Linked DNA regions of Drosophila melanogaster. Changing the gene in region 2 together with the main gene of any one other region gives a genetic interaction. Each region holds a gene or a part of one and is shown on either strand. Other genes may lie near its edges.

Region 1 (8,755 bases), 3.7 Mb from region 2:
AAGCCCAGCGAAAGCGAAGACAATTTAATGGCCGAAATTTAAGGAAAATGTTTGAAATTTAAATTGACGGAAAATGGCGGAAAAGGCAGTATGGCATGCAAATAAAATAAACTTGTGTTTAAATGGAATTAAACGAATATGTCTCGAGTTAATTGATTATATTATATTTATAATGACGAATGGAATATGCAAGTAGAAGAAAATATACTCTCAGTAATTGTTTTATTGGCCTAAATTAACTATCTGATTCCCAACTTCTCGGCTATTTAATTAAATTGCTGAAGACAAGGACTTGGCCAAGTTTGCTAACAAAATTTCTGGCCCAAAGAAACAAAAGTCTTTTGGAGTTTGGCATTTTTGCCGGGGCCAAAAGTTACTCAAAAATACGAAAATAAATTGCGTGCTGATGGCTCATTTAATTTAATGAGCGGCGTGCAACTTGTCTAAATGATTTTTCCTCTACTTTACAACACATTTTTTCTTCACATTTTTGTCTGTACACTTTTTCCGTTTCAGTCCCTCGTTTTTTTTTCTTTTCTTTTTATAAAGATGGAGAAAAGAGTTCACCACCAGCAAAAATAGTAATTCCACTTTATTCGATGAATATTAGCAAAACACTTTGACTTAATGTTTGGGGAAATTACGGCAAACGAAAAACGGGCAGCGATATTTAAAAAACTTTTAAGCGTAAATGCAAAAAGAAATGAAACTAATGAAAACACTTTCAACGGCAGCCAGCGACCTCGTCAAACTTGGCAACTATGTGTGTGCTGTAGTAAGCCAGAGAGGCCGGGAAAAAATAAGTAAAATAATAATACTACTCTATAGGCTATAACAACAAAGGCAACAACTATATAGCACCAGCAGGCACCGACCCAAGAATCAGGCACGCAATTTGATCATTAAACATGAAGCTCTTTAGCACACGAAAAACAACATCGGTGGAAAGTGGGAGAAGTGGAGGCCCCATATAGAGTCTTATGACCCCCTCCCCCTGCGCACCCCTTGCAGAAATATGCATATGTAATTTGTTTATAAATATTCCTCTCAGCCTGACGCTTCCTATTCGCTCAATTTTCGCTGGCATGTGAAGCGTCTGCCGAGCGGATTCTCAACCGAAAGCCAAGATATATCTGAAATCTCCTGATAAACGGGGGGTCGTGGCAAAGGGGGTAAGTGGGGAGCCCATGAGTCATGCGGTGAGGCTGGGAAGACTGGAGAATTGCTCACTTAATTAGAAAAGAATTCGCGACGAAGGTTGGTCGCTGGCAAAGATTAAACTATTGCAATATGATAAGGACTAGGCGGGAAAAAATATTACTATACTTTGCTGACGAATGTTATTTTGTAACATAGGGAATTTCAAATTCAATTTATTGTTATTAATGGAATGAGTTCAGCAGTTGGTATATTTGAAAGTACACATTTCAGCGGACCATTGTTATATACTGATAATATATACATATATAACTAGAATTTTTTTCCTGGCTCAACAAAAAAAATGTTTTAGTTTGCCACCTAAGTCGAATTCCGAATGTTTCCATCAACTTTTGCAAATGCTGCTGGCCACTAAAGTAAACCACAGAATCGACTGTGGCATTTTCCGCTGCTCCGCTCTCCTTGATCTTTTCTATTTTGATTTTGATTTTATTTCTAAAGCGAACGAGAAATACAAAAAATAGCTGAACAAACACAGTGGGAGAGGCGAGCACACGATAGACGAATTATATTTTATGCCACAAATTACGCTGCGGTTAACCTTTAAATTAAAATAACACCAAAACAATTTTTGTGCTGCATTTCGCAGGCGTTTGAAATGGCACACGAACTGAAAAATGGTGGGAAAAGTGAGGGGGCGCGGGGGAGAATGGCAGCAGCTGCAATGCACATTTTTATACAAATTGCAATTGCACATTTTTTTTTTTTGCACATTTTACACGGCCGCTCTTTCTCACTGTTTCTCTCGTTTGCTCTCCGTTTCGATGGCATAAAATAATCAAATTAAATATATATAAAAATGCATGTGCAGTTTGGTTTGAGAAGAACCCGCGAAAATTGCTTCCCGCCATTTTTCGCAAATTATAGCAGCGCAAAGTCATGGAAAATGGTAAAAATAAAATTGTAAATAATAAAACCACGAAGCGGCATAAACTGAATGGATCGCTTTTGGGCCGCTGGCAATGTGCAAAATGTGCAATAAAATTATATGCATCAAATGCACACAAACAGACAGAACACCCGTATATATTCACATACTCGTACATACATACATATATCTCTCGCCCCGAGTCGAAAAATTCATTTGATGGAATTGAAATGGCGCGATTCGGGTAAAGAGCCGCAGGAGAATTACGAAAAAGGGGATTCAAAGAGGTAAATTCGGCACAGAATCGGGTATTAAACCACAGGCGTAAATTTATTCGCCAGTAACGCAGACACACACAAAATTCCCGCGGGCATTTCTTTTTTCCCATCTCCATTTCCATTTCCATATCCATTTTTATTTTTTATATTTCTTTCTGATTTTTTTAATGCTCCCAAAGAGCATGGCCCACCTTTTGGTAACACACACACACACACACACGCTAATTGGTAGCACACACACAGGCAAACGGCCATGTTTGAGGTCTTTTTGCTCCGTTAAATAAAAATCAAGTTCACTTCGCATGTCCATGATAATCAATTGATAAAGTCTAACTGCGATTTGGTAATAATATTTTTTTGAAGAGCGGGCGAGCGGAGACTGCCGGTCACCTGATTAGCATATAATTTACGATCCAGATGGATTGTAAAAATTATTACTCCGTTTAAAAAGCGAGGCGAGAATTTATGCCTTATAAACGTGATGGAAAATGGTGGAATCATTGTGGCTATGCAACGGGGGGGCTTTTCGGAGGTGAAGGTCCCAGCCATGTTTAAACAAAAATCGAATCAACTATTGCGGTGTGAAAATGAAAAGTTAAGGGGAAAAGCTAACAATTTTCAATAAACATTATTTAATGATTTTCTAGAGTAAACCGTTGTTTAATGTAATACAATATCTATCACTATTTCGGCGATCTTTGATTTCCATCACTTCCCAAATAAAATGGTCTAGCTGCAGACTCAGTTAATTATATAAACTTGTACCAGAAAATGACCCGCATAAATCAAATGTGATTTCTGTCCTATTCCAATACACATAAGCACACACACACACACACACTCAGAAACGCTTAGTTAAAATTCATTTTGATAGGGCTCTAATAAACAAGAACTATTCCCCATTGAATTGATTGTAATGGGTTAAATTGGAGAAGCTTGGAGGCCATGTATAAGAAATATTTATATAGATCTACTTCATGAAGTTGGATTAACTAATATCTGAAGATTTTTAAAACTTTTTGCGTATTCTGGTTATAGATTGATTTGGTTACACTGGTAACATATCCATGATATGAAAACTGTTACAATATCATCATAAACTACAACCTGTAAGTGCCGTCGGCACCACTTGACTTGATTACAAATTGACTGAACCCCATTTGTTTTTTAGCCGTCGGAACTTGTTTAAGGATAACAACACTCTCGGGGGACCATTCTATATGGATTCTATATATTTAGAAAGTGAACTTTGGTGGATCTACTTACCCTGGGCTGAGCCATTAATGCTCTGGGAGCGACGTCTAACCCGATTTGTGCCACTTTTTACAGTAGGAACAACAAATGGGGGCGCAACACACTGACCGACGTCCCGCTCCGCCGCTGCAACTGCTTCGGTTTTAGGGAAGCTCTACTGTAGCTGCCCGTGTGGAGTCCTTAGATTTACTCTTGGCTTTTCCAGTTCTTCAGTTTTGGATGTTATTTTCTTGGATTTTTATATATGTTTTGCACTTTTTTCATGTATTGGGAAGCCTTTGCTTTTTGAACGCTTTGCTTCTTGATTTTGCTTTCTTTTTTTTTAACACAGGCACATTTGTTTAGATTTTATGTATTATTATTACGTTTGTATACTTGTTGTATTGTTGATGTTGTCGTTTTTGTTACGCGCGCGTTTGTTGTTTGTTTTCTAGAGCGGGAGATCTGGTTTTGAATGTTTTTTTTACTTGTGTGTTTGTTATAATAATTATTTACATAGCATTTGTTTGGTTTATAAAAATCGTATACAATTTGTTGTTGGTTGCCGTTGCAGTTGTTGTTGTTGATGTTCTTGGTATACTCGTGTATTGTAGTAGTTGCTGCAACATCATTTGTTACTGGGTTGCATTTGTTGTTGTCATAAATCCATGGCGTTTTTTCCCTTTTCCTCTCTCTCTCGTTTTGCGAGTTTCCTTGCCTTTTCCTTGGTTATTTTTATAGTAGTAGTTGTGGTTGCTTTTAATTTTTATTTGTTTGTCGTATACTCTTTTTGCTTTTTTCGTATAATATGCGCACTATTTATCACAGCTGCTTCTACATACTACGTTACTAGAGATGAACAAATTATATTGTTAATATATAATGCAATATATTCTGTTGTGTTTTTGCGACGGCAATTTGCGTGTTTCTTTGTTTTTGCGGGGGGATCGGCGGGATCCCCTCGTTGAAAGAAATTCCCTCCGCGGCCCTCAAATAACAGTATTTATTTTGGCCTTCAATTGTGAAAAGGAGAACTTTTCGATTGTGATTGAAAAACACACTAAAAAACGTGATTGTTTTGTTCGCGCGATGGAAAAACGCGCGCGATTTCCAAAGTGTTTCTTGTGTTGTTTATTTGTTGATTGATGGCAAAACGCGTGGTTAACGGGCAATAATAATAATCATAATAATAATAAACTTCACCGACGGCAACACTTTTTCGCTTTTCTTCTCTTTTTTATTCGAACGCAACGCAACACAGACACACGTCGTACGCGCTTCGCAGTCAAAAATACACTGTGCGGATGAAAGATATTTCATCGAAAAACCAACCCGCCAGATACGTTTGAATTTACGCTACAGTCGGACGTGTTTCCACTCCTAACATCGCTGTTAACTAACAGCGAAGAGAGCGCTGAGCGACAAACAACAGCAAAGTCAACGGGTGCAAGCGGTGCGGCATGATTGTCAATCATGCAGCTGCCCCGCTCTGTTCAGATGCAACAATTGTGCCATTAACTCGCTCTTGGCCATAACTCAGCGAGTGCAAGCGAGAGGAATATATGGTTTATGCGAACGCTCCGGCGAATTGCCTGCGCAGGCGCGCTCGCATCCTGGGCGACGATGACTGATTTGTTGGTACGCCTCTTCTGTCATACACACACTTGTCATTCACATGCATATACAGTACCGTACAGCGGTGTTCTATCTCTTTCTCTTTCTCAGTTTTCGCCTCTTTTTGCGCAATGTTCGCCGCGTTTGAAATTTATTTGGCTTTGGCCAAAAGGAGACGGCTTATGGGTTTTTCGCCCCTCTGCCGGCGTCGGCGTCGAAAATCAGCAAAAACCAATCCCATTTGTTATTTTCGCTTGAGTGAGTGGCAGTTGGCAGCTTGGCTCTTTTTCGCCGCACCTTTACAGGTTGAAAGGCAGCGAGAAAGCTTCAGTTGTCCATCAGCTTCAGCTTTCGCTCACTTTTCGCTCTCTTTTGGCGCCCCCACACACACTCGCACACACACACTTTTGCCCGAATAGGCAACGCCTTCGAAGAAAAGCGGCAAAAAAGAGAAGAAACTTGAAGGAGAAGAAGAAGAAACGTGGACGACAAAAACAAACTTTTCGCTGCAGTTCCTTTATTGCGTCCTTTTGGCTTGTAACGGTGATCTGGCCACTTTGGAAGGATATGCGATCCTGACAACAACAAACAGCTGTTCGAGTTTCTCCTCTCTCTCTCTTTCTTACTTCTTGGGGAACAACAACAAATGGAACGGCGATAAATTGTCAAAAACATTCGCTGAAAATTGCATATTTTGCAGGTCATTCTGCGCTCCTGTTTGGCGAATCTACTCTCATTTGGTTTTTTATATACCCTGTACAAATGGTGTTACATCTCAAACCAAAAATAAAAAATTGAGGAAACGGGCTTTTGCATTATTTGAACAAGTTTTTTGATGACAAGTATGTTTGGGCAATTTTCAGTCAATTGTGATATCTTCGGCGTGATTGTACAAATTTTTTTTTACATTTTAAACTAAAATAAATTAGTCCAATTTGTTTTACCAATAACTACAGGGTAACAAGGTATGCCAATCTTCGTATTCAGTCCGAAATCCTGTCTATTGTTGCTGTTATTGTTACTGTCGTGTCGTCGTCCTCGTGGCAGTTTAAAAAGCAGTTAACACATATTCCCAGGCCATTTTTCACCAGCGTATTTTTGGCTTGGCGCTGCAGTTGCCATTACGCCGAAAGAGACGGGGATACTGGCGAGCGAGAGAGACGGGGCGATTTGGCCGGCGTTTTTAGGAAAATGAAAAATAGCCTTGTTTGTTTTCCGACGCTCGCCAAAAGGATTTCCCGTGTCTGTTTTCGCTGGTCAAAAAGATGATGTTGCACTTAATCTGGTTGCCATTTCATCCCGAAATCCCAAACCCCCAAAATCTTGGGAACTATGTATGATATAGGTGCTCTGTTTCTGCGTCTTGTCAACACTTTGACAAATTTATGAGACTTTGATTGATTTGCGGTTGCTTTTTCCCTTTTTTCGTTTCGGGACTCGCTTTCTTTTGGCTTTTTCAGACGTCCAACTTTTGTGCGTCTGCTCGGGCCAAAAGCCAAGTAATTTATGTGAAACAAAAATCACATAAAATCGAATCAATTAAGTGCAATAAATTAGTGAAACGCTTAAGTGTGGGAACTTTTCAGACTTATCGGTGACCAAGTTAAATTCGAATAGATCGATCGACGCGGTAGCAAAGTTCAAGGATCCCAACGAAATGTTAGACAAATGAAGTTTATTTGTTTAAGAAAACTCGAGGTTTTCTGAGAAGCGCTAATTGAGGAATAGAATATACTTAGTTCGTAGAATAATACTGAGTGAAAAAATGTTTTCAGATGAAATTTAATAAGAACAGATAACTTAAATTTCGAAGAATGCAAATAAAGCGGACAGCTCCAGAAAAGCTCAAGAATTTTTGCAAATGAAGCAGGAATTTAATTTAATATTTAGAACTTTGCCAAATTGAAGGGACCATGAAATTTAAATCACCGAAAAAGGAAAATAATCAAGAAGCGAGAAGAGCGAACGGTGGGGGGGGGGGTGTACAAAAGGAGGGGCAGGAAGCGAATTTAGGGGGCTGGGCCTCCACCCAGTGAGCGAAAAAAAAATGAAAGAAGAAAGCCGAAAAGGAACCGACTCGGGAAAACCTCAAGGAAAATTGCATTTGGAAACTTCCAATCCCAGACGAGCGAAAGAGAGGGCAGAGAGGGAAAGCTTACCCATACACGTGCACTCACACCAATTGGGGGGCCAGCCAATATGATTTAAACACTCACGCACGCACACACACAGGCACACACTTGCGAACACCTACAGTGATGTTAACGCCGGCAGTGCAGTCGGCGTCGCCGTCGACGCCGGCAGAGAAGTGTGTGTTGTGTGCATGACAATTCATCTCTTTCTTATAAACGCAATTTATCAAACGCAAACGACGAGCGACAGCAAAAGATGAAGACGACGACACGATATCAACTTGATGTGGCGCCATCTCGCTTGCTCCCGCTCACTCACTCAAGCAAGAACCGAAACAGAAAGCCAAAAACAAAAAAATGGCACATGAAGAAAAATAGGAGTTGCCGTCGGCGCTCTTCTTCTTCTTCGCCGTCGCTGCGAAATACGAAAAAAAAACATCGAACACACAGAAACAGCAACAAAGTGACTGAAACCGCCATAATCTTGACAGACAAGTGCACGCGCTCTTTTCGCCGCGCTTTTAATGGTTTGTTTTTGTCTGAATTCGCCGAACAGCGCGGGAGAGAGCGCCGAGCGAGATGGCATGCGTTGCAGTTGCGTTGGAGCGAGAGGCCCTAAGTGTTTTATGGCAACGCGTTTTACAGCTGTTTCACAGTTGTGCAGCCATTGCAAGACTAGGCATGTAACATGATTTGAGAGTCATTGGAGTTTAAGGATCTTCAGTATTTAGAGTTGTATGTTCACTGTTTTTATTTATAAGGTATATAGTCGTTCAAATCGTGATTTATTCATATAATTTGTAGGATGTAATCGTTTTAATATTGTTTGACTGTTCCTTTAGTCTGTATACTTATGTTATTGCATATATTTATTTATTCAGGTTTTATTGTTATATTTTTAGTTTTTTGCACCGATATTTTTTAATTTAATACATAAAAAACTGATTTCTGTTAAGAAGCGCGCGAATTTTGATTCCGATTACCGCCTACAATTCATTTATCCTAAGCCAAAAATTATACAATTCATATAAAATCAGAGGTCCTGTCAAAAGGAGCTGTATTTTTAACACGGAATTTACCAGTTTACCTGCATAGTTACCTGTTTTGGCAGTTACTTGATCTTCCATGAATCTTCCTTTTGCCTACTAATTTTTTTGTGACTTTCAACGCTTGAGAAGGCCCATAAAAGGCTTAGGACACTTGTTCATAAATCTACCTGATCTATTGCGACTCACACCCTCTACACAGAAAGAAACAAGAATATTCCTAAAATTTTTATTACTGTAAGTTATTTGAATTTAGAAATATGCACAACAAAGATTAAAATCCGAGGCATTTAAAATGTGTTTGATTGATCTATAAAACGTATATCCTGTTTTGTTCTGTGCAGCAAAGGTCCTGCGAGCTTTATT
Region 2 (8,426 bases):
CCTGAATGTTTTTCAATTACATATATTATTTTAAATAGTACATAAATTAACATTTAAGTACAAAATACAACTCTTGTTCGATAAACTTGCAAACTTCCCTTGACCGACCTAATTTGAATATCACGCTTGATCTAATGTTTTGGATTAGCCGCTCCGTGTTTATCTTTAACATAAGGATAATGCAATTTAATCCCTTCCAGCTAAAGGCTTATCCTTGGCAGTCCGGCTCTAGCCTGTCGTGTTCCTTCCCCTTTCGCCAGGGACGAGCCCATCGCGAATTTCCTACTATCTCCATCTACTTACTGGCTATAAAAACGGCACGGATTAAGGATTCGGCAGCGGCGACTGAACGGATAATTCGCCAACTGACAATGCTGCGCGGACAAAGGTGTTTTGTTTTTATGACTTTGTAACTCCTTCGCCAGCTTAAGGCGGTAACCGTATGCTCGTGTTTGCGAAAGGATAACTTTACGATCGTTATGGCTGAGGCTGGTGGAAGGGATAGAGATGCAGACCAAGGAGTCCTCCGCGACCGAGGGTTTTGAGGAGGCGGTACCTGCCGGCTAAGTGGACACAATGGCACGCCTATTCGCAAATACGAGTTCTGCCAGCGAATCGCTTTGTTTTGACAAAGGCGGGCTTTATTTTGGCTATTTAAAGGATTATGCTAAAGGATTGACTTTGCAGCCTTGACTGAAACCGGGTTTGCAAAAGGATTCCGCCCACAACGAATACCCTTTCCGCGAATCTCGGGGTTTATGGCTCGCGAATGAGTTAAGAACCGACTCCGAGGACCTCTAATAAAGCAGAATGCGAATAAAAAGGATAAAAAAGACTTCGTTTCGCAGAAGGACACAGGAAGAGTTAACGTAACTCTTTCGCAATTTACACGTAAATATTTTACCAGTTTCTTGAGTTTTTCTTTAACTTCCAAGGAAACGTATGAAAAGAGATGTTGACTTTTAAGAAACGGGTAAATGTCCTTGCAATTTCGTTTGTTTAATGTTGACTAATTGATAACTTTAAGGAGTCAAAGGAACCAGTAAAATCCGCTTGGTTGATGTTTGCAAAACAACTAGAGGGAATGGTATTGTCGAGTTTTTCGACTATCACCTAGTAGGATTACGAACAAGAAATTTCAACGTATTAATTGTGTGTGTGCATCTCTGGAATCCTAGCTTATACGGAAAAACTTTTAGCTGTTACATACTTTTCAACGGATCAAGTATACCCTTTTCTAATACGCGTAACGGGTTTAATAAAAGTTGACTATTTAGAAAATATAAATACTTCGTTGACTTATATTTCTGACGCATACTGTATTTGCCAAGTAGTTTGTATTGTAGATATGTATGTCACTGTAGGGCTTTTTTACCCAACCACCATCGTTTATATATTTATGGCCTAATTATATAATTGCAAAAATGCCACAAATTCGAATTTGCAAAGGGATTCTTCCGTTTTCGGTCTTTTGATTTATATCTGTTAACTAATTTGTCTGTCATAACTACATTCTAGAAGGGTAGGATAGAATCTGATCTATTGAAGGTCTGTTCATTGTTAAATATTTATTTTATAAAATATTTGAACAAAATGTACATGGTTTCCAAATCAATTAAGTAGCACATTGAAGCCATCTAAATCATTAAATCAGACAAAAAATTTCTTTCGCAGCGGCATAGATACATATCACCACTAAGCTTAACCAATGCCACCAATTCGCACCTAACACTAAAGTGCCCACAGATGCCACTTCGAACTCACCCACCGACCACTTTTGTCTAATGAGTCGGATAAATGGTGCCGGGATATATTCGACTGCACATGGATCCCCTTTGCCTTTGATATTGATTCTGATTCCGAATCCGATTCCGCACCGGGCTTTTCCTTTTGCGTTGCGTTACCCATAACTGTCACGGATGTGCAATGAAAAATTACCAATCAATGTCTCACTTCAATAGAGGAACGTGCAGCGGCGGAGGGAGGAAGGGAGCAGGGATGCGGTGGTAGATATGCCCCGAAGCCAGACCAAAATGTGACATTTTCTCTGGCGAAAAGAGTGCATTTAATAGAAAATCCGGGAGATAGCAATGGGTCAGGGATGAGGGGGACTGAAGCGACAAAATGCAGCTGCTCGAATTTGTACGATTCGTGCTCAACATTAAATCGTTTGCGTTTCGTATAAGTTCGAAAGTAATGCTTCAACCATGTGCAATTCATCAGAAAGTAAACCAAGAGATCTCTTAAGCTTCTCAACGAACAATTAAATATTAGGCTTATACTTAAATAATTTAAACTCCTTAACTCCTAAACTCCATTTTTATCATATATATGTATTATATGCATATATAAGGTATGAAAATAGGCTGAAGGTAAACTTTGCCTTGTGATATGTTTTCGGTGAAAGTAGTTAGACAAATACCATACGTTGATCCAAACTATTTTAAGAATTTATTGAGTAGTTATCATTGAAAGGCATTTAATTTTATTTCAACACATATACATATGAAATGTATTCCACATACGCGGCCCACGGCCTATAAATTTAAAATTTTAAAGCAGTCAAATTGCAGCATGCCCAAGACTCTTCTTCACAAATTGCCAAATGAATGTTCAACTTGATTTGTTTAAATTCGATCGATTTACTTTACTCGTATATTTAAATAAATAGAATTCTATGATAGGAATATCTTAACTACTATATGTACAAAAACATGTGTGTCAGTCTCCAAGTCTCTTGGCCATTATCACTCCCAGCTGAGTGTTTTGGGCTTGTGTTTGGCCGCAGCTAATCGATCGCTGAGAACCCATCATGGCCAGCCACTGGGTTCCGCGCGCAGCAAGGCTCCTTTTCTGTTTGCGCTGCCTCTTTTGCCTCTGCCTTCTGCACTTGCGCACTCGTCCTTGTGCCCAAAATGTCCTGGGCACCGTAGGGAGTGCGCCCTCTACTGTGCAACTCATCGCGTCGCAGCTTCGTTCTCGGCTGTGTCATTTGCGTGTCACCTACAAATGGTCGAGAGAAGTGCGCTTCGGTTTCGTGGCGGTACGGCTTTCGGTTCCGCTCTGGGGAAGAGAGTAACTGAGCATCGCCGGACCTCAAGACAGATGGTAGAGGTCCTGTGGATGTTGCTGGTAGCTGCACTGATGTTGGTACTGCTGCGGGTAGGCATCGTACTGCTGGTGGGTCTGCTGCTGAGGGTAATCATTGAGCAGGCCATAACCATGACTGTGACTGTGGCTGTAAGCGGGGTAGGCGGCGGTGGTTTGGTGGTGGTGGTACATGGGCACTGGCACCGATGGTGCCCCGGTGGTGGCGGTGCTTGTGGCCTCCAGTGGCGGCAGCATCGCGGTGTAGCCGGCACCACAGTGCTCCGGGGAGCTGTCCAGCGTGCGATCCTTCTTCGACTTCATGCGTCGGTTTTGGAACCAGATCTTGATCTGCCTTTCGCTCAGGCTCAGGGCATTGGCGATATCGATGCGACGACGCCGGGTGATGTATCTATTGAAGTGGAACTCCTTCTCGAGCTCCAGGGTCTGGTAGCGGGTGTACGTCTGACGGGTGCGTTTCGAGTCTTTGCAATCTGTAAGCATAAGCAAAGAAAAAATGGGTTAGCTAATGAGTTTTATAACTGCGTATTGTTTGAAAATATCAAAAATGTATACAAAAACATATTTTCAATATTTTCAAAGTGTATTTTTAGGGGTTGTTAATCGTGTGTGATGCCTACCTGATGCCAAAGTCTCCTCGATGTGCGACCAATTGAAATCGCCGGCTCCATTCGGGGCTGTCACAATTCGATGATTGATCTCCTGGCTGACAGCTGACGAGGATTTCTCCCCCGGCGATTGGGGTGGCGTGCTGATGCCTTCGAGGGGCGGCAGAGAGGTGGGCGTGGTTGGCGGAGGGGTGGCAAAGTCGCCATTCTTCAGCTTCTGCGTCTGCGACTGGGGCGAGTAGACGTCCAAGTAGTCGACATCCTCGGAGGCGCTGGGCGTGGGCACAGTCACGTACTCTTGGTCGTAGCTGGGAGCGGGGCTGGCGGTGACCTTGGTGCTTACGGCGGGAGCCTTCTTCACCTGCTCGACGGTTGTGTAGAAATAGTCGGGGGTGTACTTCAGCTTCTTCACGGGATTGGTGAGCAGAGCCCTCAGTGTGCTGGGTCGCTCCTCCACGGCGGCGATGATGGAAGCAGCATCATCTTCGGCCTTGCGCTTGGTGGCCTTGGGCGGCGGGGTGGTGGGTTGCACGGGCGGTACAGTCTGGGTGGTCACCTGCTCCTGATTGTTGTAGTAGTAGCAGCTCTCCGAGTAACTCTCCTGGGGATAGTAGCCCTGATAATTGGAGGTGTTCTGATAGTAGGCATTGCTGCCTGAATTATCGTAGTAGGTGGGCGGCAGGCTGTGGGGGTGATACATGTTGTACATGTTCATGTTGTCGGCGTAGCTGTAGTGGCTCTGGCTGTTTGTGGTGGCCATATCGGATGTGTATTGCTAGATTTCTTCTCTAACTCTGCGATGTGCACGCAACGCTGGTGAGTTTGCGAATGAGCTGGTCCTGCGGCAGATCCTGCATATATAGCAAAATCAGAGAGCCCTCGGCACACGCTCGCCGTTATAGCGCATAAATATCCCTGCGCATGACACTTTGCCGCCTGCTGTTCGCAGCCACCCCTCCGGCGAAATGTCCTTGCAGGCACGGAGAGGGGAAGTTATCCGAGGTCCTGGCAACTTTATCCGTACGGTGCCTACCTGCTGCGCGGCTTATTACCTACCCATCGCGCCCATTATCATCGCGATTTATCCGCCCGCGCGCTTCTCCTACTCGGCGACCTTGAGACGGTGCTGCAGTAATTACGGCCATGAGGTGCCTACCTATGAGGTGCGCAGAGCGAGAGGGCGCGACTCTCAGCCGATCTCCCTCTAATTGCAATAATCATAAAGACATAAAAACTGTAAACTGTTGCTGAAAACGTTCCTTCGGGGCAGAGGCTTTTTCCCCGGCCCGTTTATGGTTCCCTAAAAATTTCTCTGGATTTTTGCCAGCGCGCAAAACACCGAAGACTGGCTGCCAGTTGTTCCCGGAACCCGATGCCCTTTCCCTCCGAATTTATTTCGTGGCACTGGGCGGCCAAAGGATAACATTACGTCCGATCCCTGGGATCAGGAATACGCGTGGCCGAGGGTCGCGTGTTTGCGCTTTTTGTTTGCCCTCGTGGCCAAGCAAGTGCGCAACTCCCGATTCCCAAACTCACTCCTGTGCCCGGTATTTGCCTAAAAACCAACAAACGCACTTCCAAAATGACTAGTAAACAGTAAAAACTTTATGCAAACATCCTTTGCCTAAATTTTAAAAATATGATATAAATTATATGCCCGCTGATTTTTCAAATGAATACTAGTTTTATTTTATTTTTTACGTTATACTTTTAAAAATGATTCTATAACAGCAGAAAACCAGCAATATTTTAATAGCATAATATTGTTGAGAATATAAAGCTTTTACGCTTTTTTTCGGTAACTCTGTGATATAACCCTCAAGTTTTTATAAATTTTAAGTAGGTTGTCTATGGATGCTGTAATTTTTAATGGCCAAATGGTAATGTATCCTTTGTGAGTGGTAATCTTGAGTTAAATTTGTGGCACAAAACTTGCACAGCGTAGGATCTTCATGTTTAATTATAACATTATAGCTCTTATACTTATACTTATATGGATCAAGAATATATATACTTTGTAGCACTGCAATTGCTGCCTTCTACCTGTTACATTCATTTCAGTAAGGGGTAAGAATGCCACAGGCTTCACGATTTACTATTTCTCATTCTTTTAGAAACTGAAGGTTATTTCTGGTAATCTAAAAATCTACTTCCATCTTAGGTTCGCGTATAACCTGAAATCAGCTCAGCTAAATTGACTGGTAAAAAACAATCATCTCTCAGCCACTTTTGTGTTTACATGACTTTCTGATCGGCTTACGCGGCCTGGATAAATTTTATTAGCCACCCCCGTTGAACACCCCTAACATATCGATACTCCTGACATATGTGTGCATGTGCGAATTCTACCCTTACCCCATCCGCATACTCTGGCAGATTCCATTGTTCCACAAAATTTATGGCGTTTTTCAGTTTGACAGAAGAGACTGCAGTTCGCATCTCTCCGATGTCCTGTGATTGCTATATTGCCAGTGAATGTGAGCCTCCTTTCTGGTTTTGCAGTAAACTTAACAATAAGGGTGTAGAGTAGGATATAAAACCATCCGATAACTTATGTTTATATCTATCAATCAAAGAAAGGAAAAACAGCTCCCCAAAAATAAAATTCTTTCGATACCGAATCATTTACTAAAATAATTTCATCTCATTTTATTTAAATATTGTTAGGATCCTTTTTTAACGCAATAAATAAGGGCGAGGGCTACTACTTTTGACTAGGTCTTTGAATTTAGATATATACTTATTGAATTATACCTTAAAAAGATTAATTAGTTGAATTATTTTACATGAACATGGCCTAAGATTTTAAACTAACTTGTCTAGCTGTTTATGAATGGTTTGTTTTTGTAAATATTTAATGATGGGTTTACGTGGCATAAGGGCACTTAACTTTTTCACTTTCGAACGATTGGATTTCACAAATTCCTCTGTTAAGCTTAATCCAAACCTAGCACATGGTCATATAATACTTTGCCCACCCGGTTCTCCACGGAAATGCAGCGAGCTCAGATCCAGAACCCAGGCAACTTTAATTGAGTTGTAAGGCCCACATGCGAGTGTCCGACCACAACACACCCCATCGCAAGTCCGCACCCAAACCCAACATAGAATGCGAATCCGGAGCTCGTCCCAAGAACTCGTGCGATTTTATTGTCGAATTAATAAATTACCTTGACAGTGAATCGGGACCATCCCATTGTGCCCGACTAGCTGCATGTCCCATGTCCCTTATATCCTTTGGAGTTTGAACCCCTCCCCGATTCCGACCATCTTTCCTGCCGTTCTTTCGCTGATGCCGTTGCACATTTTTGGCAATTCCAGAGGGGTTAACAGCCAGATACACATCTACTCGTATAGAGCTAGACAGCGGACGGTTCGGTGGGTCGGTCCGGCAGACTTTTCATAAATGCACGGGAAGGTGAAACGGGCACGCGCCTGGAGGAGGCCAATGTGTTAATTCCCAGCCCACAGATATATTCTGGCTGCTGTTGAAGTCAATCTCATCGTTATTTTTCCCGGAGCAGCGTTATCAGCTGCCGTGGGTCAAGCGAATCCAAAGTGACCAAGATCATTAGGAAACTAAACTGTCATTTCTTGCCAAAAAGTTGTATGCTATTATCCACAAACATTATTAATTATTGAGTTGTCGCCGTAACATTTTTTGGATTAAATTATGCACATAAGTTCTCCATATGACTATTATAGTAGTTATAGTAATTCAAACCATTTAAACATTTATATAAGTCTAGAGATGTCAAACTAATTCGTAATATGTCTGGTTTACGCAGATAATAAGGCATTATCTTTTTATTAGGTTATCGGTTGGCGATTCTTCTGATTGCAGCACATTAATATTTGAAGCTTCAAAAGTCTGTTATAAATGGCCCAATACAGCACCTGCCAATAGTGGTAAAGCTGGCTTTTTACATATATCCAAAATACCGCACTTTGCCTTGTATACACAGATGACACAGGGTATTGTTTTTTATTGGCCTATCGATTGGTGATCCTGCTGCCTGCAGACGATTAATATTTGAAACTTCAAAAGCCTATTAGAAATGGGCCAATGCAGCACCTGCCAACAGTGGGGCATTACATAAGACTCAATAGGATACCACAGTGTCAGTTAGTCTCGGGATTTGTTTGGTTTTCTAGCTTGAGAAAAACTGCGATGATCACATGCTGGGGCCAGTTTCCTTTGAAGTTGCTGCTGATCTCCTCCGGCGGTTTTCTCATTATATACCAAATACCACATAATTGGGGAAGGGGTGATAAAAACAATCGAGTATATCACACTCATTATCACAGTGAAACAGGCGACGACCCGCTGGGAATAAAATAGTAAAGGGCCGAGAAAAATTATCAACAAACAAAACAAACAACTCGAGATTGGTGTAAATTCCCCGACTATTCCGATACACCGTCTATATATAGTATCAGCGTCAATCGGTCTATGGTGGGTTCGGGGATCCCAGCGTGAGGTTTTCTTTGGTTCGGATCGCAGGCAATCAATTTGATTGCCTCAATCGGCGGCTAATTAGTAGCGATGCTCGAGAATTATTCAAAATTTCTTTTGCGTTATGGGATTTGTTTGAGTTAACAATCAAACTGCACGCAGATCGGATCGAGTCGTTAAGTCTGCGCTGGGGAAATCATCTTGATGAATTTGCCAGATGTCTAGATAAATGAAGTAATCTTCAGTTTCTAAAA
Region 3 (8,631 bases), on a different chromosome or scaffold from region 2:
ATAAACGCCGTTCGAGTTTCTCCTCCTGCCCGGCTAGAAAATTGCTTTCAACGTTAATTTCCCGGAGATGTTTCCCCACCAGAGAACCCTCATCAATCGCTGGGGAATATGCATGGTGGCACACACACACCTCCATTTATTATTGAAGCAACAAATGGATGTGGTCTTCAGTCCCCAGAATATCATGCAATTTTATTGAAATTTCAATTGAACATTTTTGTCACGTAATCGACACTTTTCTATTACAAAGTTTCCGCCACTCCCCCAATCCCCCAATCCGTTCCTGGCCAAAAACCACATAATGGCTGACTTGGATGGCCGACTATTGTGGGCGGGGGTGCAAAATGCTACCCATCGGCCTTAACGGCTTATAAGTTGGGCAAACAACACGTTGACAAAATTGAAGAGGCATAAGATATGTTTGTGGGATTTTAGGTCAGTCCCGGGTGGAATGAAAACCGGGATTAGTGGCCGAAATGGATCGAAATGCCATTGGCCAAGGAACTGCTTAACGTTGGCTCGATGGTTCCATACTTGGAACATCCAATTTCGGGAATGCGCAACTCACTCTTCTCTATTTATAAGCCAGACCTTGACATTTCCCATTCAATTAATTCAGTTTCCCAGTCTATTCTTCTAATCCAGCTGCGATTTGCGTGTTAGCCGCGTATTTCCCTGAACTTTCTCCAACTTGTCTATTGCGTTCTGGGCCAAAAGTAAAACCAGCGCTTTAAGTCACAGACTAAACTATTGTATTTCGGCGAAAATGTTGCTCACCCGAGGTAAACACCATTTGTCTTGGCGGCAGAGTCACGCACATGGCTAAAAAATCAACAAATGTGATAAACATTTTGTTAAATGTTTGTTTTCTTGTTGCAATTAGCCAAGTCGAAGTCGAAGAGTGTGACAAGCAAGAGCAGTATGGGTAATTCTTGTCTTAAACACGATTATGGCCAAAAGTTGATAATCTCCAACAGGTCTTAGCTCATAACTTGGCTAAAAACAATCGCCCAGCGAAAGTAATGACCGTTTTGTGCAGCTTTTTACTTAAACTAAAGATCCCTATCACTTTCCTGCCGATTTTCAGAATTAAAAAATTTGATCATTTTTCGCATTTTTTATAAGGGGTTACATCATCAAATTTTGCAAAAAATGGTCGAAATCTAACATTTCTAGCTGGGAATACCACTCGATAGGGAATTTCACTGCGAGTTCAGGAAGGTAGGACATTCCCCATTTGGTCAACTACTTTTTATTTTATTCACAAAATACTGACAAAAATCTTATAAAAATTATGCAGTACATCCTTAATTTTATTATAATTAGCGATGTCATAAGACCATTATCATAAAACTCAAGTTCATGATGATTCGCTGTAGCTTAATGATTTGCTATAAATCCCCAAGGTGCGGAGTAAACAAATGCGTGCCATTTCCTGTGGCTCTTTTTCAAAACCCTCCTCTCCACAAGTGAGAACATCAAACAAATGTGTTCACATATCTTCGCCTCGAGGGAAAGTGCATTGCACCTTCCCAGCACCCAACACCCAACTCCCAACTCTCAACTAAGTGGTAGCTATTTATAAAAACCGAAAGTTGTTTGTTGCGTCTATTTTTAGTCGCTCGCGTTAGTTAACCGTGCATTTTGATAAACAGCATGGCCAGAGTTTTCCATGTGCCGACTTGTCAATGGAAGTACAACACGTGTACACAAGTCGAGAATCTCGAGAATCTTTGCCTGTTTTTCGTAGACCAGTTGTAAACCAACACCCCCATACCCATATATCCATACCACTTGTGGAAAACACAAGGGTGGAGCATTATCGATTGCAGCTTGGCGGCTGCAATGAAAGGCGATAAACCCTTGGCATGTTTTTGTGGTTTTTGGCATTGAGATCAGCCGGGAGATGGAAAATGAGGAGGCCTGACTGACTGACTCCCCTGCGGCAACTGGCAATCGGCAAACTGCAATTGGAAATGGAAATGGAAACGGCAATGACATGTGCACTTGGACGCCGACCACTCGAAGGCAACATGAACAACACAATCATCGACTGTGACTGTGACGAACAACGCAAACCCGCAGGTGCACAAATATGTATTGTATATGTATGTACCGCAGCCGAACAAGAGTGTCCACCGTTCAGTGTCCAATGTCCACTGTACACTACCGCTTTCCACCGCACACGTTTCCAATTTCCCAGGCTCGGCTGGCGACATTTCAAATGAGAGCATGAATTGAATGCCACGGCATTTTCAGCGCACTTTCCTTGACTTTATTCGATCCAGTTTTTTGATTAAAGAGAGCTGTTTTCAATTCAATCAATATAGCAGGCCTCTTCATTTTTATTTCAGTTGCATTTTGGCTATATGGATTTGCTTGTTGCGAAGTGTAGTTACTAAGTGCTGGCTTAGTTAGTGCGAACTTACCCGACTGACTGCCACCGGCGATTTGGCGCATCTCCTTGGTGAACTCCTTGTTGCCGAATTGGCAGGACAGGTCGTGGACGGTGCGGGGCTCGCCCTTGTCCAGCAGTCGCTCCAGGAAGAAGAGCAACGTCATGTTGCGTGCCATCTCGTACTCCATGGACTCCATTGCTGGGCCTGCTGTGTCCGCTATTCGCTATCTGATATCTGCTAGCTGCTCTCTGCTATCCGCTATCTGCTCAATTATTAATCCGCCCGAGTACGTCACGTTGGCTGCTTATCTGCGGGTAGAAGGAGGAGGAAGGGGAGAGCGTTAGTGAGGTGAAATGGCCAACACTTATGCAATGCGCCAAGAAAGCCGGCCAAAAGCAAAAGACAGGGCAGAAAGTAGCCAAACCGCAGGCACATATTAGATGACACTGAGAGAAACAAGGGTTTACCCTACTCAAAATCTTTCGCATGCCCACTTTTACTTTACTCTACGATGGTTCATAATCAACATGATTTTTTTCTCTCTGTACAGCTTCGTTTCGTTATTTATTTAATACATTTGCACTTTGCCACTGTCGCTCTCTCTTTCCTGCACGCTATGTGCGTCTCACTCGCTATCTCGACACTTGTCCCATGCCATTGCATTGTTTTTGTAGCTCGCCTTGCACTAGTTGAAAATATTCGAGGCAACGGCGGGCAGTTGCAGAGCCATAAACTTTGTTTTGCTTCGTGAATAATTGAGGAGCACAGACTCAAGCGAGTAAAACACGTACGAAGGAGTTGCTACCGTTCCTAGGAGCTGCGACTTCCGTACTCTTGCGGCATGTCCTTGCGCGCCGCTTGAAAGTTTGAAATCAACTGGCAGTTTCCTGCTTCCTGCGCCCACAACATAAACACCGGCGAATTCAGCCAGCTGACTGTGCGGCGAAAGAAGGAGTCCACGTCACGGCGAATTGGCATCAGTGTTGCCAGCTGAGAATTTCGAAACCGCCAGATTCGGTGACTGAAAACAGTGAAAACTCGCTAAGCCACAATTACTACTTAGCATCGAATCGAAAGTAAATAATCATAATATATCTGCTCTATATATCTTTCATTTAAAAGCAAGAGCTAATCTACAAAATCAAATTACCGTAAGATCGCCAGACGATTTTCTATCTAGCGATGTTGGTCTGTATGGGAACGCGCCAATTGGAATTTGCATGGGATTAGTGCAAATAAGACTCTGAGCACAATGGGATTTGGTTGGACTTTTCGAATGGAATTCGGTGGGAATCAAAAGTTGGCGATCAAAAGTTGGCACCTCGACGGGACTAAGGGTATATATAACACGTTTTAATTTGTTTGTTGCTGCCTCTGATTTTTGCCGCCGATTGGCATGTGAAAAGTGTCAGCGCTGCAGAACAGGTGATTGACACAGAAAGAAAGGTACAAATGTGCAGCGGAAATGGAAAATGAAAAGCGCCAGCTCCCTCCCAGGAGTGCATATTACTATTTTTCGCCAGGCCGAACAGAATTTGCCACTCATTATTGTTATCCAACAGGAGGGCTGCCCAAGCCAATAAGAAGTGCAGGTGTAGCTGTGTTCGTGCTTTCCAATTGATAAGCAGAAACCGTTGACAACAAATATGTATTGAGAACGGCAACAACAAAGCACACACATTCCAATCAGCCAATAACTGTGCGCGTGTGAGTGTATGTGCTGTACAGGTATTTGTGCGATTGTATGGGTGGCAAAACAAGAAACTCCAGCCACACCGATAAAAAGAAGAGTCTTATTAGAAGCGAAAGAAAGGTAAAACAATAAAGGAGAAGCGAATAATATCTGGCAGAGAAAACGCGCAAAATATGCAAAAGAAGAGCAGCTGTAATTACCTGTCGGTTAATCACTTGTTTGTTTCGTTCCCTTCTGTTTGTTTAAGTGCACTTGTGATCTGATCTATATTTAAACCGATTGACACACACGCGATACAGATCCTCGCGTTTGGGATTTCTCACCAGATCTGCGTTCAGATCTTAGTTTCAGCTTTTCTTGCCACTGGCGATTTCCAATTGGGCTTCAATTAATTAACATTTTTCGGCGCAATTAACCCATACACTTGCAGAAAAACTGCGACGAAAGCAGTTAGTTATTTTCGTAGCTGTGTTGCTGCTATTGTATTGTTGTTGTATCACTCACACTCATGCACACACATATGCGCGCTGGTCAGGTAGGTTACGTATGTGTGTGCGTGTGTTTGTTAGGCACTTTGAACTGAATGCTGGTAAGAATTGTAAAAACCACTTGTTGCACTGTTTTAAAGGCACTCGTCCAATTGGAGAGTGGCGCACGTGAATTTGCGATTCCTGCCGGTTGGCGGGCAACTGAAACGCACTCGCTGGCAGGTAAAAAAACAGACAATTGCCACGGTTTTCGGAGCGGAGCGATGCGATACGATATGATGATGACAGCGCCAACGCGAACACACGAACACCAGCGCAGCGAAAAACACCAACGAATCGAATTTGGATGGCGGGCGGCGAAGCGAAGGCGGTGGCTGGTGTGGCCAGTGCACGGCCGAGGCGGGAATACCACTGAGCGGCAACGTTGGTATTTTATTAGCCGGGTGGCAACGTCTCGCGGCGCGACTGTTAAGCAGTGTGACCGTTTCGTTTCGCTTCGATTCGAAATTGGATTTCGAAATCATTTTGAAAGATTGTATAGATTCCTTAGAACTGTTTATGGTAGTTCAGTAATTATTAATTCAGCTTTAATCACACGAACCTCTTCCATTAAAGAGTCAAAATCCCGCCATAAGCCTATCTCTTGAACCTTAGTAAAACTCGAACTCCACTGCGTTCAAGGCATTGCTATCTTATATTATTTTTATACATCCTTCAAAATCTCTATGAACCAAACACGCATCTGTTTTGCGGTTATTTAAATAAGGCCGAGTGCTAAAGCACTGCTAGAATGGCTGAATAGCTATTCAGTAGAACTCAAAACAATACCCGAGCTGCCTGTGTTTGCACACTTGCTTAGAATAAACTAGATCTAACAAATCCACAATTCCCCCATTGTTGACTTGTTCAAACAAATGTATTTTCGATAGTCATCGGCCAAATTGTCTCAAGAATATCCTACTAAGCCACGTGCGGCAAATGATGATGATTCGGAGCAAACACACAGTCTGAAAATGAACCAAAAAAATCGTGGGTGATGCGTATAAATACCCTAATTAAATGCAGAGAAAGTACAGTACTTGAGTACAGTGTTCAACGGACGGAGCTAAAGATGCGATTCCAATTCGTCCTGGCCTTTGGTCTTATTGCCATCTTGGCGACCGCTTATGCTGGTGGCGATACCACAGGCACCGGCAGCACGGGCACCGATACTACGGGGACCGGGAGCACGGGCACCGGGAGCACGGGCACCGGTAGCACCGGGAGCACGGGCACCGGTAGCACGGGCACTGGCAGCACCGGGAGCACGGGCACCGGTAGCACGGGCACTGGCAGCACCGGAAGCACGGGTACAGGCAGCACCGGAAGTACGGCCACTGGCAGCACCGGAAGTACGGGATCAACCACCTCTGGCAGCCCCAGCACCTCAACTGGCTCATCCTCGACTAATCCGTCTCCTTCCACAACCTCGCCCTCCACATCGCCCACCACGTCCACCTCCCCGAGCGACTCCTCATCCTCCGGCTCCAGCAGTAGCTCTTCGTCATCCAAGCGGAACCGCAAGGAGAGGCGTCGTCGCTACCGACGTCGTCAGAGACGCCAGGAGAGACGCCGTGAGAGGAGGGAGCGCCAGCGCCAGCAGCGCCGTCGGGGCTGAAATGGGAATCCCAACTCACATGACATTGTAACTCAATGCAAATAAAATTGTTACATGAAAAACCAATATAAACCCTAGATATAAATGTGAATGCAATTTTGTGTTGCATACCTTAAGACACCATAAGAGAAATGTTTTCAGTCCTCCACAGAATCACAGCATGTACCAGCAAGCTTTCTTAGCTCGCATAGCTTTCTCACTCCATTTGGTTCTATCTGAACTAGTGACTCGGCTTCATACTATCGTAGTAACGAATTTCCTAAAGTACAGAACGCCCGGAAAGTATGCAGAACATATATGAGACCTTGTTTCGAAATAAACTCACGAGGCTTTAGAACTAAAGATAATTAATTCCACGAAGTGTTTACGATTCAGTCCAAAAAAATTCGAAACGAGCACAAGATAGCTTTCGTTACAATCTGAAAGATATTTTATCGGATCACAGTACTATTAGAATCATACAAAATATATCAACAGATCGTCAGTCCATAAGCTGCTAAATAGGAAAGTCCGTGAGAGCCTCAAAGTCCTTGGACCCAACGCTACCTGGTCATCTCACGGCTTCTGCTGGATTCACTGCCTCTAGGCGAAGTGGGCGTGGATCAGCCGGTTGGGTTGACGTACCTGAAGGTGATGCTCTGGCTAGAAAGCCAGGGACAAATGACAAATCTCCAATTAGTTAGCAACTAAGCAAAACGGTTTTTTTTGGATTGGCTGGCTGAACGTATTGTTAGCATGTGTGCAAACACAGTACATTGTTTATTAAATAGATGAATATGTATTGTTAAGCCTTTTGAACAGAAAGCCATATTTAAATAACCTCTAAGCTTAAATATAGATTAAGATGGCATATTGTACATAAAGAATGAATTCTCACTAAAAGAAAACTTAGAACAAACTCCTATTTTTCACTTTCATTTGCAAGTTCCTAATCGATTAAGTTATCATCTGGAATTATGTCTGCACTTAGACCAGTTCCACTTGATCAACTAACTAGATCGGAAAATGATTTACTTAGGATTCTTCATTAGAGTATATAGTGTAGCCTTCTTCTTCTTTTCCAAGATGAAACCGAATATTGAATTTCTTTGTTTGACTAACAATTCGATCCAAATGATTTCACTTGTTTTTAAGGTGCCAAGTTACCAAGTCATAACTACGATTGTTGCTTTTGTGTATGCATTTATTTTTCAATTTGGACCATTTCATTGTTCGATCGGGTTAAGCCGATGGTTTATCCCCTACGTTGGCGCCTTCTTCCAGCACGACTCTGCTGGCGCCTTTCCTGCTGCCTCTCCCGGCGAATCTCCTGGCGCCTCTCCTGACGCCTCAGCCGCCGGAGCCTGCGAAGCCTGCGCCTCAGCCTGTCCACCTCCTCGCTGTCGGAGCTCGTGGAGGAGGAGGACGTGTCGCTGGACGTGGAGGGGGCCGTGGTTGTGGCAGTCGTCGATGAGGTGGAGGAAGTGGGCGAAGTGGAAGAAGAGCTGCTAGGAGTGGAGGACGAAGTAGACGTAGTGCTATTGCTGGACGGAGTTGAGGTGGAGGACGAAGAGCTGGGTGTCGAACTTGAGCTGGAAGTCGATGGAGTCGATGAATTGGAAGTGGGTGATGTGGAAGAGGACGAGTCGCTCGAGGATGAGTCGGTGCCACCATAAACGGTCGCCACGAGGACAACCAAACCAAAGGCCAGGACGAATTCGGGTCTCATCTTAAGCTCTGTCTGTTGAACACTGTACTCAAGTACTATACAGCATCCAGATCTGTGTCTGCTATTTATACGATCTATCTGGAGGGGTTTGGTCCAAAATCTCAATCCGTGGGTGGTTTACATCTTAGCATCTGGCACGTGGCCCAGTGTTTTGCTGAAAACGTCTGGAAAGCTGGAAAGGTTATTGTTGGGAAGTTAAACATTGAAGCAGTTGTTGATTTTCTGAAACAATCTACGGCACAGGCACTAGACAAATATAGTTTTTGACTAAGAAGTGACTAAGCAAAAATAGGTAATTGGACTATTCTGAATAAAATAACTAAATACAATAGGAACAATCAGTTCGTAAGATAAGGAAGGGTAAAGTGGCCATTCTACCCAGAATCCTTCAAGTTGGCTTTCCTAAAATGAATACTACAATGCAAGCAGAGTCACTTCGTGTTCTCTTTTAAGCAGCATATTATTATTCAAAGAAAGATTTAATCATCAATAAATGTGATAGAGCACTTAATATTTGCTTAATATTAAATGTTCTTATATTAAACATCCTCTAAGTTAAGCACTTTCTTCTTGAGCCGTATTGGCACATCCACTAAAAATAACACTGCGCAAATAGAAGCTCCATTGCTGTTGTAGATTCGACAAACATAGGAACTTTCCACACCTTGTTCAACAAAACACTGCCG

What was found. Genes that interact genetically often act in the same process or in processes that back each other up.
Region 1: of ftz (region 2) and hth, changing one enhances a phenotype caused by changing the other (phenotypic enhancement), as found in Drosophila melanogaster (one study listed by BioGRID).
Region 3: of ftz (region 2) and egl, changing one enhances a phenotype caused by changing the other (phenotypic enhancement), as found in Drosophila melanogaster (one study listed by BioGRID).

Annotation. Positions count from the first base shown.
Region 1 is NT_033777.3:10,609,355-10,618,109, forward strand, and holds the start of hth (homothorax), read right to left. Parts: upstream 4,923-8,755; 5' UTR 3,646-4,922; coding exon 3,631-3,645; intron 1-3,630. UniProt on the Drosophila melanogaster protein: All isoforms are required for patterning of the embryonic cuticle. Acts with exd to delimit the eye field and prevent inappropriate eye development.
Region 2 is NT_033777.3:6,860,444-6,868,869, reverse strand, and holds ftz (fushi tarazu), read right to left. Parts: upstream 4,547-8,426; 5' UTR 4,477-4,546; coding exon 3,729-4,476; intron 3,582-3,728; coding exon 3,097-3,581; 3' UTR 2,626-3,096; downstream 1-2,625. UniProt on the Drosophila melanogaster protein: May play a role in determining neuronal identity, may be directly involved in specifying identity of individual neurons. Required during embryogenesis for the process of body segmentation.
Region 3 is NT_033778.4:23,741,908-23,750,538, forward strand, and holds the start of egl (egalitarian), read right to left. Parts: upstream 4,923-8,631; 5' UTR 4,293-4,922; intron 3,278-4,292; exon of another isoform or gene 3,191-3,277; intron 2,708-3,190; 5' UTR 2,596-2,707; coding exon 2,430-2,595; intron 1-2,429. Other genes in the region: CG13560 (uncharacterized protein), read left to right, coding at 5,692-6,237; CG34105 (uncharacterized protein), read right to left, coding at 7,472-7,945.